Sus scrofa: one gene and its partners. The protein of the gene in region 1 interacts with the protein of each later gene in a pairwise test. Links are inferred from orthologs where the notes say so. Each region holds a gene or a part of one and is shown on either strand. Other genes may lie near its edges. The genes, in order: CDKN1B, CCND2 and CCNA1.

The links.
Region 2: the proteins of CDKN1B (region 1) and CCND2 interact in binary tests that used the Homo sapiens proteins (3 or more experiments, as listed by UniProt). The two-hybrid records come from large-scale screens. The link is inferred for Sus scrofa from reciprocal best matches to the Homo sapiens genes CDKN1B and CCND2.
Region 3: the proteins of CDKN1B (region 1) and CCNA1 interact in binary tests that used the Homo sapiens proteins (3 or more experiments, as listed by UniProt). The link is inferred for Sus scrofa from reciprocal best matches to the Homo sapiens genes CDKN1B and CCNA1.

Annotation. Positions count from the first base shown.
Region 1 is NC_010447.5:59,732,901-59,737,286, reverse strand, and holds the start of CDKN1B (cyclin-dependent kinase inhibitor 1B), read left to right. Parts: upstream 1-1,455; 5' UTR 1,456-1,497; coding exon 1,498-1,972; intron 1,973-2,518; coding exon 2,519-2,640; 3' UTR 2,641-2,648; intron 2,649-4,386. UniProt on the Homo sapiens protein: Important regulator of cell cycle progression. Inhibits the kinase activity of CDK2 bound to cyclin A, but has little inhibitory activity on CDK2 bound to SPDYA. Involved in G1 arrest. Potent inhibitor of cyclin E- and cyclin A-CDK2 complexes.
Region 2 is NC_010447.5:66,091,972-66,094,917, reverse strand, and holds the end of CCND2 (G1/S-specific cyclin-D2), read left to right. Parts: intron 1-2,174; coding exon 2,175-2,321; 3' UTR 2,322-2,435; downstream 2,436-2,946. UniProt on the Homo sapiens protein: Regulatory component of the cyclin D2-CDK4 (DC) complex that phosphorylates and inhibits members of the retinoblastoma (RB) protein family including RB1 and regulates the cell-cycle during G(1)/S transition.
Region 3 is NC_010453.5:12,402,484-12,405,987, forward strand, and holds the end of CCNA1 (cyclin-A1), read left to right. Parts: intron 1-98; coding exon 99-303; intron 304-1,202; coding exon 1,203-1,316; intron 1,317-2,160; coding exon 2,161-2,294; intron 2,295-2,607; coding exon 2,608-2,659; 3' UTR 2,660-2,874; downstream 2,875-3,504. UniProt on the Homo sapiens protein: May be involved in the control of the cell cycle at the G1/S (start) and G2/M (mitosis) transitions. May primarily function in the control of the germline meiotic cell cycle and additionally in the control of mitotic cell cycle in some somatic cells.

The DNA of each region.
Region 1 (4,386 bases):
TATCTATCTGAATGTTCTGGGTGGGCTGGAGAAGTGAATCTGGTGGGAGAGAAAGGTGAAGGAAGGAAGGGGCTGTTGTATTTGGCGGCGGGACTCAGGTAGAGGAAACTGCTACAAGCCGGGAAAGAACTGAAAAATATAAAAGAGGAGACGAGTTCCCACACGCAGACCAAGTCAGTGGCCTTAACAGTGCTTGGGAAGCAAGAACCTGGGCCAGGGGTGTATCCTCGCTTTTTTAAACGAAATGTATCTGAGACAGCTACTAAGTTTATTAGGGACTTGGGAGACCAATAGAGTTTTTGATCTCGAAGCCCTTTTCTTGTTTTTATTGAGGGAGAGCTTGGGTTCAGAATACATTACAAATGCAGCATCTATTCCAGTCTACTTATAGAAAGACGTCCTCCTGGGCTTCCCCCCTAAGCCCCCTGCCTCCCCTAGAACAGCACAGACTTCTAGGTTAAGGGTGAGCTAACCACTGCTCACCCCCAGCTAAGGCACCCAGGCTCAGGGGCTCCCCGCCTCCCCCGCTGAGCGAGCGGTGGGGGCCCCCCCGGGAGAGAGCCCAGCTGGGGGCCGAGCGCCCAGCGGCGAGCCCAGCTGCCCGCCCCTACCCGCTCGGCGAGCGAGGGGAAAATAAGATCGCCCTCGGCGAGGAGAGGGAGGTCGGGGCTCCGGAGCGGAGCGCAGCGCAGGGACCAGAACCCGCCACCTCTCCGGCCAGGCCCCTCCCCGGCTCCCCGGCCTTTTGGCGAGTTTGTCTTATTTTTAATTTCTCCGAGGCCAGCCAGAGCAGGTTTGCTGGCAGCCCGGCACCTCCAGCAGTCACGCGACCAGTCGAGCTCCCGGCCGCGCGCTCGGCGGCGGCGCGCTCGGGAGGCGGGGAGGCGCAGCGGCGGCTCAGGGGCCACCTTAAGGCCCAGCTCGCCAGTCTCGGCTGGGCGGCTCCCGGCGCCGCGACCAATGATCTCCTCCTCTGTTTAAATAGACTTGCGGTGTCAATCATCTTCTTCTTCGTCAGCCTCCCTTCCACCGCCATATTGGGCAACTAAAAAAAGGGGGCTCGTCTTTTCGGGGTGTTTTTCTCCCCCTCCCCTGTCCCCACTTTCTCGCCGCTCCGCGACTCCGACGCCGGCAAGGTTTGGAGAGCCGCTCGGTCGGCGGGACCCGCGGGCTCGCAGCGGCGGGGACTCGGACTGGCTCTGCCCCCTCCTCTCTCCGCTGCGCTCCTCTCCCCTCCCCTCCCCGCCCTCCAGCTCGCCCGTACACTTGATCGGCGGAGACTCGGGGCTGCCTGGCCCGGGCTGCCCCTCGCCCCCTCCCCCAGCCCCAGCGCGCTCCTGACGCTCGGGCGCTTACTCGTCGGTGTTTGTTTCTCTTGGCTCGGAGGGCAGCCGCAGGGCTTATAAGAGGGGCTCGGGCTGGGTCGAGGCGTTTTGTTTTGTTCGGTTTTGTTTTGCGAGAGCGCGAGAGAGGCGGTCGCCGAGCCCCGGGAGGAAGATGTCAAACGTGAGAGTGTCTAACGGGAGCCCGAGCCTGGAGCGGATGGACGCCAGACAGGCGGAGTACCCCAAGCCCTCGGCCTGCCGAAACCTCTTCGGCCCGGTCAATCACGAAGAGTTAACCCGGGACTTGGAGAAGCACTGCAGAGACATGGAAGAGGCCAGCCAGCGCAAGTGGAATTTTGATTTTCAGAATCACAAGCCCCTGGAGGGCAAATACGAGTGGCAGGAGGTGGAAAAGGGCAGCTTGCCCGAGTTCTACTACAGACCCCCGCGGCCACCCAAAGGCGCCTGCAAGGTGCCGGCGCAGGAGGGCCAGGGTGTCAGCGGGACCCGCCAGGCGGTGCCTTTAATTGGGTCTCAGGCCAACTCAGAGGACACACATTTGGTAGACCAAAAGACTGATGCACCGGACAGCCAGACGGGGTTAGCGGAGCAGTGCACTGGGATAAGGAAGCGACCTGCCACAGACGGTAATGACCCTTTCGAATGCATGAAACGTCTGTTTGTCTGCCTCTCTCTGTTTGTCTGCCGTGCTGTTTTCCCTGCTTGAGGATCTTAAACCTCCGCTTTCTTTTCAGCGCATTCTGACTTAGCTCTTGGGGAACACACCTTCCTCATCTTAGGTTTTAAATGCTATTTGGCTAGCTGCTGGTCTGTTTATGACTTTTAAGTCTGAAGCATGAGACTGTGCTATCTGATAATTTCTCTAACTGAAAACATCGCGGCTCCTCCCCGCTAGCCAGCTGTAGGTATGTGACAACGTTGGGATGTTTATCAACCACCTCCCTCTTCGCTTTGGAGAGAGAGAGATTTGGGGCGTAGAATACACTTTCTGTTATGTGAAAACAACCTCATTTTGTGCCCTTAAAGGCCACTGGGAATGACGGATCCAGGATGGTGGGTGGAGGTGGTGGGTTTTTTGTCCCCTCAGTATCGAGCCAACTTGTGTCAGCCATTGTTTTTTCTAATAAAGATTATTTGTGTGTGTTCTTTTTAAAATTCCCTCCTGCCTTTAGATTCCTCTCCTCAAAACAAAAGAGCCAACAGAACAGAAGAAAATGTTTCAGACGGTTCCCCGAACTCGGCTTCAGTGGAGCAGACGCCCAAGAAGCCCGGCCTCAGAAGGCGTCAAACGTAAACTGCTCGGTGGGTTGATCACTGGAAGCAAATAAGTGACACCCGATTTGGGCTGAAGGAACTCATGGGTTTTCAAACACCAAGATACCCGATCTTAGTGGTGTCTGGCAGATTAGAGCTTGTGGGGTTTTGTTTGTATTTTATGAGGTCCAAAAAAAGGAGGAATGGGAAAGACTGGGCATCAGGGTGGGGGTACTATAATTCTTCCCAGTTTCTCTGTCCTGAGATCATTTTCCTTTGAAGCTCCCAATGATTAGAGCAAGTGTCCCAGGCAAATACTTGCAACCAAGGCCCTGTGGGTAGGAAGGTCAGTTCCCTGAGAGTCCCATCAAAACGGTGTTGGGAACAATAGGTTCTTTTTCCATCTGAACAAGAGCGGGGGTCTGCCTCCATCCCACTTCAGGAGAATTCATCTCCCAGAGGACCAAGCTGACTCTAACAGATTTTGAGCCATACATGGAAAAAAATGGCAAATAAATGATCCAGTTAAAACTTTGAGGGAAAAGTTAGGTACAAATGGCTCATATCTGGTTAATCACATGGTTAGAAATGTGAATAGAGAGGAGTGTGGCTTTCTTTTATCTATCGTTTTCACAAAGTGTCACTTGCCCTGTTTTCTGATCAGTGTGGGGGATGGAGAAGGAACCTGTGTATTTAAAAAAAACCAAAATGGAAGGCTCAAAAACGCTAAGGTTCCTATGGAATTTCTGATAACACTGAAGTTACAAAGCAGAAGTTAAGTAACTCTGCCAGAGTAAGCAATCCAGGAACACGTCAGCATGTGTATGCTAATCGTGCTATAACAGGATAATTTGGATATTTGTAGGGGAAATGGATAGTAGATACCAGGGCTGCCACTGGTTAGGGCTACCCCGAACAAGGCAAGTGGACATTTTTCCACCTACTAAAATCTGATCAATGTAAAAAACTAATTTGCATAATTCAGCCCCCCAGCTTTACATGGATTGGTTTCCATAATGATCAAACTACATATATTAGTTAATAGTTTGTACACTCCTTACAGACAATGACCGTGACCTCTTTTTTTTCCCCTCCACAAACACCCTCATAGCTTAGCATTTAAAGAGATCCTAAGAGATGTTGACATTAACTTTCAAAATCCTCATTTATAAAAATTTTAAAATAAAGAACAGGGATGAAGGTAGGGTTCAAGTTTGTTGTGTTTTTACATCAGTGTCACAGGTAGGACTTTATTACATACGTCTGATATCTTTCAGAGCTTATACAACACGGCACTATCGAACCCTACGTTATAGCTGTATATGAAGTGAAAAAAATTTCTGAGTCAACCTTAACACCTGTGGCTCTTGTTGGTTGGTGACTCGTGGCCTAGCTCATCAGATGAGCCACAGCAAATCAGACCTACTGGATTTTGATCTGGCCGCATTCTGACATACAGAGAGGCATTTGTTAGTAAATATTGCCAGTTCAGCGAATACAGGAAATAGTAGTAAGGACCTCTTCTCAAGCATTCATGTGTGTATACTCTTCATACGACTGAGAAACTAGTTTTTTTTTTGGGGGGGGTGAATAGAATTTTCTTTGGTGAGCTTTTCTATTTCCAGTTATTTTTCAAATTTAGAAAATTTTGCTACTCTTAAGTGTTAACAGTTCCTTAATTTTCCTGTGTCTGTTCTTTCTCACTATTTTTGACCCCGATTCTCTAGACCAGGGTTTCTCAACCTCTGCACTGTTGCCATTTTGAGCCGAATAATTCTTTGTTGTG
Region 2 (2,946 bases), about 6.4 Mb from region 1:
CTTGGGAGCACCATCTGTCTCTGATGCGGCCTAAGCTGCCTAAGGCAGTGATGATCACGGCATCCTGAGCTGGGCAGGGTAGTGGGGTGGCAGGTGTGCTGCCCCGGGTTACCCCTCCACGGGGCCAGAATTAGCCTCTCAAGGAAGGACAGTTGGACAGAATCGGCCAGGAGCTTCCTAGGGGGGCGATCCAGAGGAGTTTTGTCTCTTGTCATTTTTTGCCTTGTTAACTTTTAAGATGAATTGTTTTCTTCGCTTGTAAGGCTTTCGAGTGCTCAGATATTTTGTGCTAAGATGCAGGTGCCCTTAGAAGCATCGCCACCTTAGCCTTCAGTGCCTGGTACCTCATGAGTAGTGAGCAACCAGGAGCCTGGCCATGGGCAGAGCCAGGGGCTGGTGAGGCTTCAGCTTTGTAATCACCAGCTGGGGGTCAGGCAGGTTTGAGGACATGACCAGGCGAGGCCACAGGAAAGCTTGAGAAATGTCGCCACTGGGCTCGGTGGCCAGTCCCTGGCCCTTCCTCTGCTTGTTCGGGGTGGACGGAGAGCTTGGTGGCCAGGGTGCACCTGCCCCACTGGATACTCCTCCCGGGGGCCTATCGCAGTGCCCGCCTCACCTGTCCTGAGCAGATGTTCCATCCGTCGTACCTCGTTTCAGAGAACTCTCAGGAATTCTTTCAGCTTCCCGGACTGACTTGTTATTCATAATAAATGATTGCCGTGTGTTGAACTTAGCACTTCACCTGATGAGCTCCGTCAGTGCTCCCTCTGTGAGCGCTTCCTTAGCCTTATTTTACAAGTGGGCACACTGGGGTCAGGGAAGGAAAGTAACTTTGCCCAAAAGGCTGGTGGTCTGATAGCAAAACACCACCTCCCTCTCTTCACTCTTCCTCATTCCGGGTGCTGTTTCATCTCTGCCCTCAGTGCTGGGTTGGCTGTTGTCCCTAATCTTAATTTTCATAAAAAGCTGTAGTTTGAAATGTGGAATGGATGAGAGATAAGAAAGGAAAATGTTTTGGGGGGTCTGCAAATGTGCTCCTAGTAATTAACTTCAACTGTATTGATTTTGGCTGCACCCGCAGCACATGGACGTCCCCGGTCCAGGGGTTGAATCCGAGCCACCACTTCAGCCTACACCACAGCTGCGACCATGCTGGGCCCTTAACCCAGTGTGCCACAGTGGGAACTCTCTAACTTTATTTTAGATCTTTGGAAAATAAAGACAATGTTTTGTGCTTGGCCAGCAACAACTACTGGGCCGTGAAAGATTGCAAGGTGAAGCAAGCAAAAGGGGAAAATATGCAAAACTGGAACGACCCAGGCGGAGTGGATTATTGTCTGTGTGTACATGCTGCTTGGGAGAGCCCTTCAAGCTGATGCCCCGCTTGCTAGTGTCAGCCACAGTCCCTCCCTGGTGACACCCATGAATTGCCATTGTGTCCCATGTCCCTCAGCTCCTAGAAGCTTCTGCGTGGGGCCAACCCACTCCAAATTTTCTCTACCAAATATAGACTAATATCAAAGCAGTGCTGCAAATTTTTTTGCCTATTCCCAAATTAGAGAGCTCAAGGGCACAGACTCCTAAACGGTCTGTGTTGTGTTGTCATGCAAGTTCAACAGTTAGTAAGCAGAAAAGCAGACTGTGCCTGTTTTTAAGCATTTCCGCAGTTGCTCTCGCTCTCAGTCCATTGTCTTATCTGTCCCTCAGGGGCCACGTTGATCTGGTGCCTTCACACAGTCTCCAGGGCTGGCTTCCCCTTTTCCCTCTCACCGCCCAGCATCTCCAGGAAGGAAGCATCACTGGCCCTTTGATTACCAGGCGCAGCACGGTCATCGCTGCCCTGATTCTCTTGTGCATCCGATTCACCTGGGCTTCTGCTAAAATGCAGATTCTGATTAGACTGGTCCCGAGAGGGCTGAGGGTCTGCATTTCTAACGAGCCCCAAGGTGGCGGTGGTCCTGATGCTACTGGTCCAGGGACACCACGCCCCCATGCCCCGCCACGGAGTGGGGAGGTTCCACGGCACCAGGAGGACCCATCTCCTGTGCTTTCTGACTCCTGTGCTTTTCTACTAGAAAACAAGTGTGGGCCTAGATGAGGCTCGAACTGTGTGTGCGTTCTGCGTCTTGCTGCCCTTGCTAACAGCTCTGGTCTCTGGACCGTTCTCCTTCCAGGATTGCCTCAAAGCCTGCCAGGAGCAGATTGAGGTCGTGCTGCTCAACAGCCTGCAGCAGTACCGTCAGGACCAGGACGGATCCAAGTCGGAGGACGAGCTGGACCAAGCCAGCACCCCTACAGACGTGCGGGATATTGACCTGTGAGGATGCCGGGTGGCCCCGACGGGTCCAATCGGCTCTCTCCTTCCTTCTCTCTGGTTGTGTTTTGTTCTCTTATGTTTTAGAATGAAACTTTAAAACAAACAAAAAAACACACACACAAAAAAAACGAAAAACAAATTCTGCTCCCACCTAGATCATATTTGAAAGATCTTTTAGAAGTGAGAGATAAAGGTTCTGTAAAAACGGAATAATGCAAAGCATCTGGTGCCTATTTGAAGTACAACACAAGGGAATCTCTTAGATATGCGAACAGTTCCTGCTTGACGATGTTAAAAGTCATGGTAAAATGCTTACAGGAAAACCTACAGAGTAGCTAGGAAAATGTACGCCTGCACTATGGGAACAAATTAGAGACTTGTTTTTCATGTTATGGACTAGCACGTATACACCCCTTGTAGGATAATCTCTAGGAACGGCCGATGCCTTTTATGGCAAGATTCGATTTCAAAGCAATGAACTCGAGAAAGAATTAAGAAATAAGGAGGGGCAGGATGGGGGAGGGGGGTTGCCAAATAGTCCCCACGCAATCGAACCATTTTGGACGGAGAAGCGCCCTGGCTCCTGACCTGTTCGGTACTGAGTCGGGAGCTCTGCGGGTCACTAGTGA
Region 3 (3,504 bases), on another chromosome or scaffold:
AGTCCCCGAGGGCCACATAACAAGCACGGTTGAGACAGCACAAGAGGGAGAGGCACAAGGTTCACGATTTACCTCCCCAAACTCTTTCCCTTTCATAGGAAATATGAGGAAATATATCCACCTGAAGTAGACGAGTTTGTCTACATAACTGATGACACTTACACAAAACGACAGCTGCTGAGAATGGAACACCTGCTCCTGAAGGTCCTGGCTTTCAATCTGACGGCACCAACCACTAACCAGTTTCTCCTTCAGTACCTAAGAAGACAGGGTGTGTGTGTCAGGACTGAGAACCTGGCCAAGGTACGTGGCGCGACTTCCAAGTACTCTGGTTAAAAAGGGAGACTCCTTCAGTTTTCCTTCCTTTTCAGTTCCTTGCCTTGGACCCTTCTAGAAAAGCTTTCTAGCAACTGGAAGAGAGCAAACTTTAAGACATGACTTCTGCTGACAAGACATCACTATTGATCGCATTTGGCAGACACACGTTGTCTAATCACCCAACTCTTAACAGATTTAAGCTTGGAAACTGTTCCCTGTGTACAGACCACATGCAAGCAATACCTCTTTGGTTTACAGAATAGGAACACGATAAATGTAGTTTGATTTGGCTCTGATGTCATCCTGACATGTTAAGTAATGGAACACGATTTGGTCATTTGGAGTCCTGGAACTTTAGTTAAAGGCACTAAAGCATTGGTTTGGAAGACTTGGTTTCCATCTATAATGATCTACTATATATGGTATTTATATGCTATTTAAAGATGTTCATATACACTTCCCAATATGTTTCTTTAAATCTGGTAAGTTCCTGCTGGTACTGTTCTAATCTCTGAACTGCATTCATTTGCCTGATAAATTAATAGCTTTAACATGGACATATTTTTGCCTTTGGTTGAAGGCTCTAGTCCACTCCAGGAGCCAGGGCAATGCTACTTGACCAGCATAAACTTGCACTACTAGGATAAGTAACCCATCACATCTGCTGTACTGGTAGGCCAAACACTTGCATGTTGAAATTTATTATAAATGTTATTCTGGTTGTGGAGAGGCATAACAATTATTAACCCAGTGAATAATTTTGAGCATCTGTTTCTGTGCTCATCACTAGATGCACATTGAACAAAGATGCCACATTTTCTAGGTTTACTTGTAACCTTACTCATATTCCTAATTCCCATGAGATTTTTCTCTCTTGTGCTTAGTACGTAGCAGAATTGAGTCTCCTTGAAGCTGACCCGTTCTTGAAATATCTTCCTTCACTGATAGCTGCAGCTGCTTATTGTCTGGCAAATTATACTGTGAACAGGCACTTCTGGGTAAGGTTCTAACTGCTTCTTTCTAGATGAATTTCAAGGCCTATCTAAAATCTGTTCAGTTCCTCTCAAGGCTTATAATGGGCTTGCCTCCCAAGGGGGAGAGTTCCTTATTAAACTAAGATTACAATATGCTGGTGAGTGTTGCAGGTCAGCCTGCAGGGCTTTGACTCAGTAACTTAGCTCAATGGGGAGCAGAGGTTGCAGAAAGTCCAAGAGATGCGGTGGCTCATTCAATGGAAGCAGGCCCGGAGAACCCTTGTAGTGTAAGCATTGAGCACTTCAAGGCAAAAGATGCTGCCTTGTCCCCTCTGGTAAAACAACCTGGCTTTAATTAGGATGGCCAGAAGGTTGTATCAAGCTTTCAAGGGAACAGAGAAGTTAGCATTGCTTCTTGGCCTGTGACAGTTGGCAAGATTAGAAACAGGCCCCTAATATTTGATTTTGAAGGCTCATTTTTGTGCTAAAAGAGGGGGGCATCTACTTTTATTTACTGGAATTCTTATTTCTTATTCTGTATTTGGCTAAGAATCTTTCTTATTACATGCAAATAGAGTATTCAGGTAAGTGGAGGCTCTTTAGGGGCCAGTAAAAATCCTGCTCATGAGAGAATAAACTATCCAAGGTTGAGCATTATAATTGTATAATATGAGCAGATCTAGAACTCTGCCTGTTCGTCCTAATATCTTATTTCTACAGTCTCTGAAAGAGGATTATGGGTTCTTTTGAGATGAATAGGGATACTTACTGATTCCTTCCCTTTTTTTCACGGTTTGATCTCCAGATTTCTGATAGCTCATAAAGCTATATGATGCAGTTTTTTTCTTTTGTCTTTTGTCTTGATTAGCCAGAAGCCCTTGCTACGTTCACAGGCTATTCACTGAGTGAAATTGTGCCTTGCCTGAGTGAGCTGCATAAAGCCTGCCTTGGTATACCCCACCGACCTCAACAAGCAATTAGGGAGAAGTATAAGGCTTCAAAGTAAGTTCCTGAAAATCTCTTATCTGGGCTCAACTATGTAAAGCTTTAATAGGTGATGGTAATTTCAGAATTAAAAACAGAACAAGTTGGCTATCTGGTGCTAGGCTGGACAAGTAGGATAGCATGTCAAATTAAGAAAATCGTTTTTGAGGGTTTATAATCGTTTAGGTTTATAATTGGTCAGCTTGCAGTCCATCTCGCCAGCCAGCTCCTTCCTTTCTGTTAAAACCACTAGAAAGTTTTTGGCCTTTGTGAGGTTTTGCGAAACCAATGTCCTTGGCTCGTGCTGAACTTGCTTTGGGTCTCGTTTCAGGTACATGCATGTGTCTCTCATGGAACCACCCGCAGTCCTTCCTCTACAATAAGTTTCGGAACTGAAGCACTTTCAGAACTTAACCACCAGATCCACAGAATTGGTTTCATGTTTTCTAGCACTCTGCAGCTCGGGTCAACTAGTGTTGCTTTGTTATAGATGGCATTCATTTTTTAGATGTACATGTATTTAGGTTCTTTTAGATATTAGTAGCTTATAATATGTCTCACATTTTCTAAAGAATAAACAGCTTGCCTTCTGACCACATGTTAAGCATATTTACTGATGACTATGCCTGGAATTTTGGTTGGGAGTATTACAAATGTCATCTCTACTTCAAGAATGCTTCTCTGTAGGTTTAAGTTAATTTAATTATTTATTTATTTAATGGTTGCGCCCACAGCCTTTGAAAGTTTCCAGGCCAGGGACTGAATCTGAGCTGCAACTGTGACCTGCACCACAGCTGCGGCAACACCAGATCCTTTAACCTACTGTGCCAGGCTGGGGATTGGACCTGCACCTCCGCAGTGACCCGCTGCAGCTGGATTCTTAACCTGTTGTGCCACAATAGGCGCTTCCCTATGCTTTTAGACATCTGGCAGACTATTAGGATTAAGTGTCCTGAGGAATCCGGAGATTTTTATGTTTAGTACATGGCTACCTGAGATTTATTTCCTTCCTACTTTTCACTTCTCATACAGCAGTCCATAAATTGGCAAAGTGTGAAGGCCAAGCCTAGGCAGGTTAGTGAAAGGATGTGAAACAACACCATCTCTTTGAGCTTTCCTACTGGACCCTCGGGAGTAAAGACCGTGGGTTGAGGACTAGATGTGGCCAAGTACCTCTGAGGGGTCATTTACATTTAATTCTAAGTCAGGGGTAGGATGCTCCTTTGGT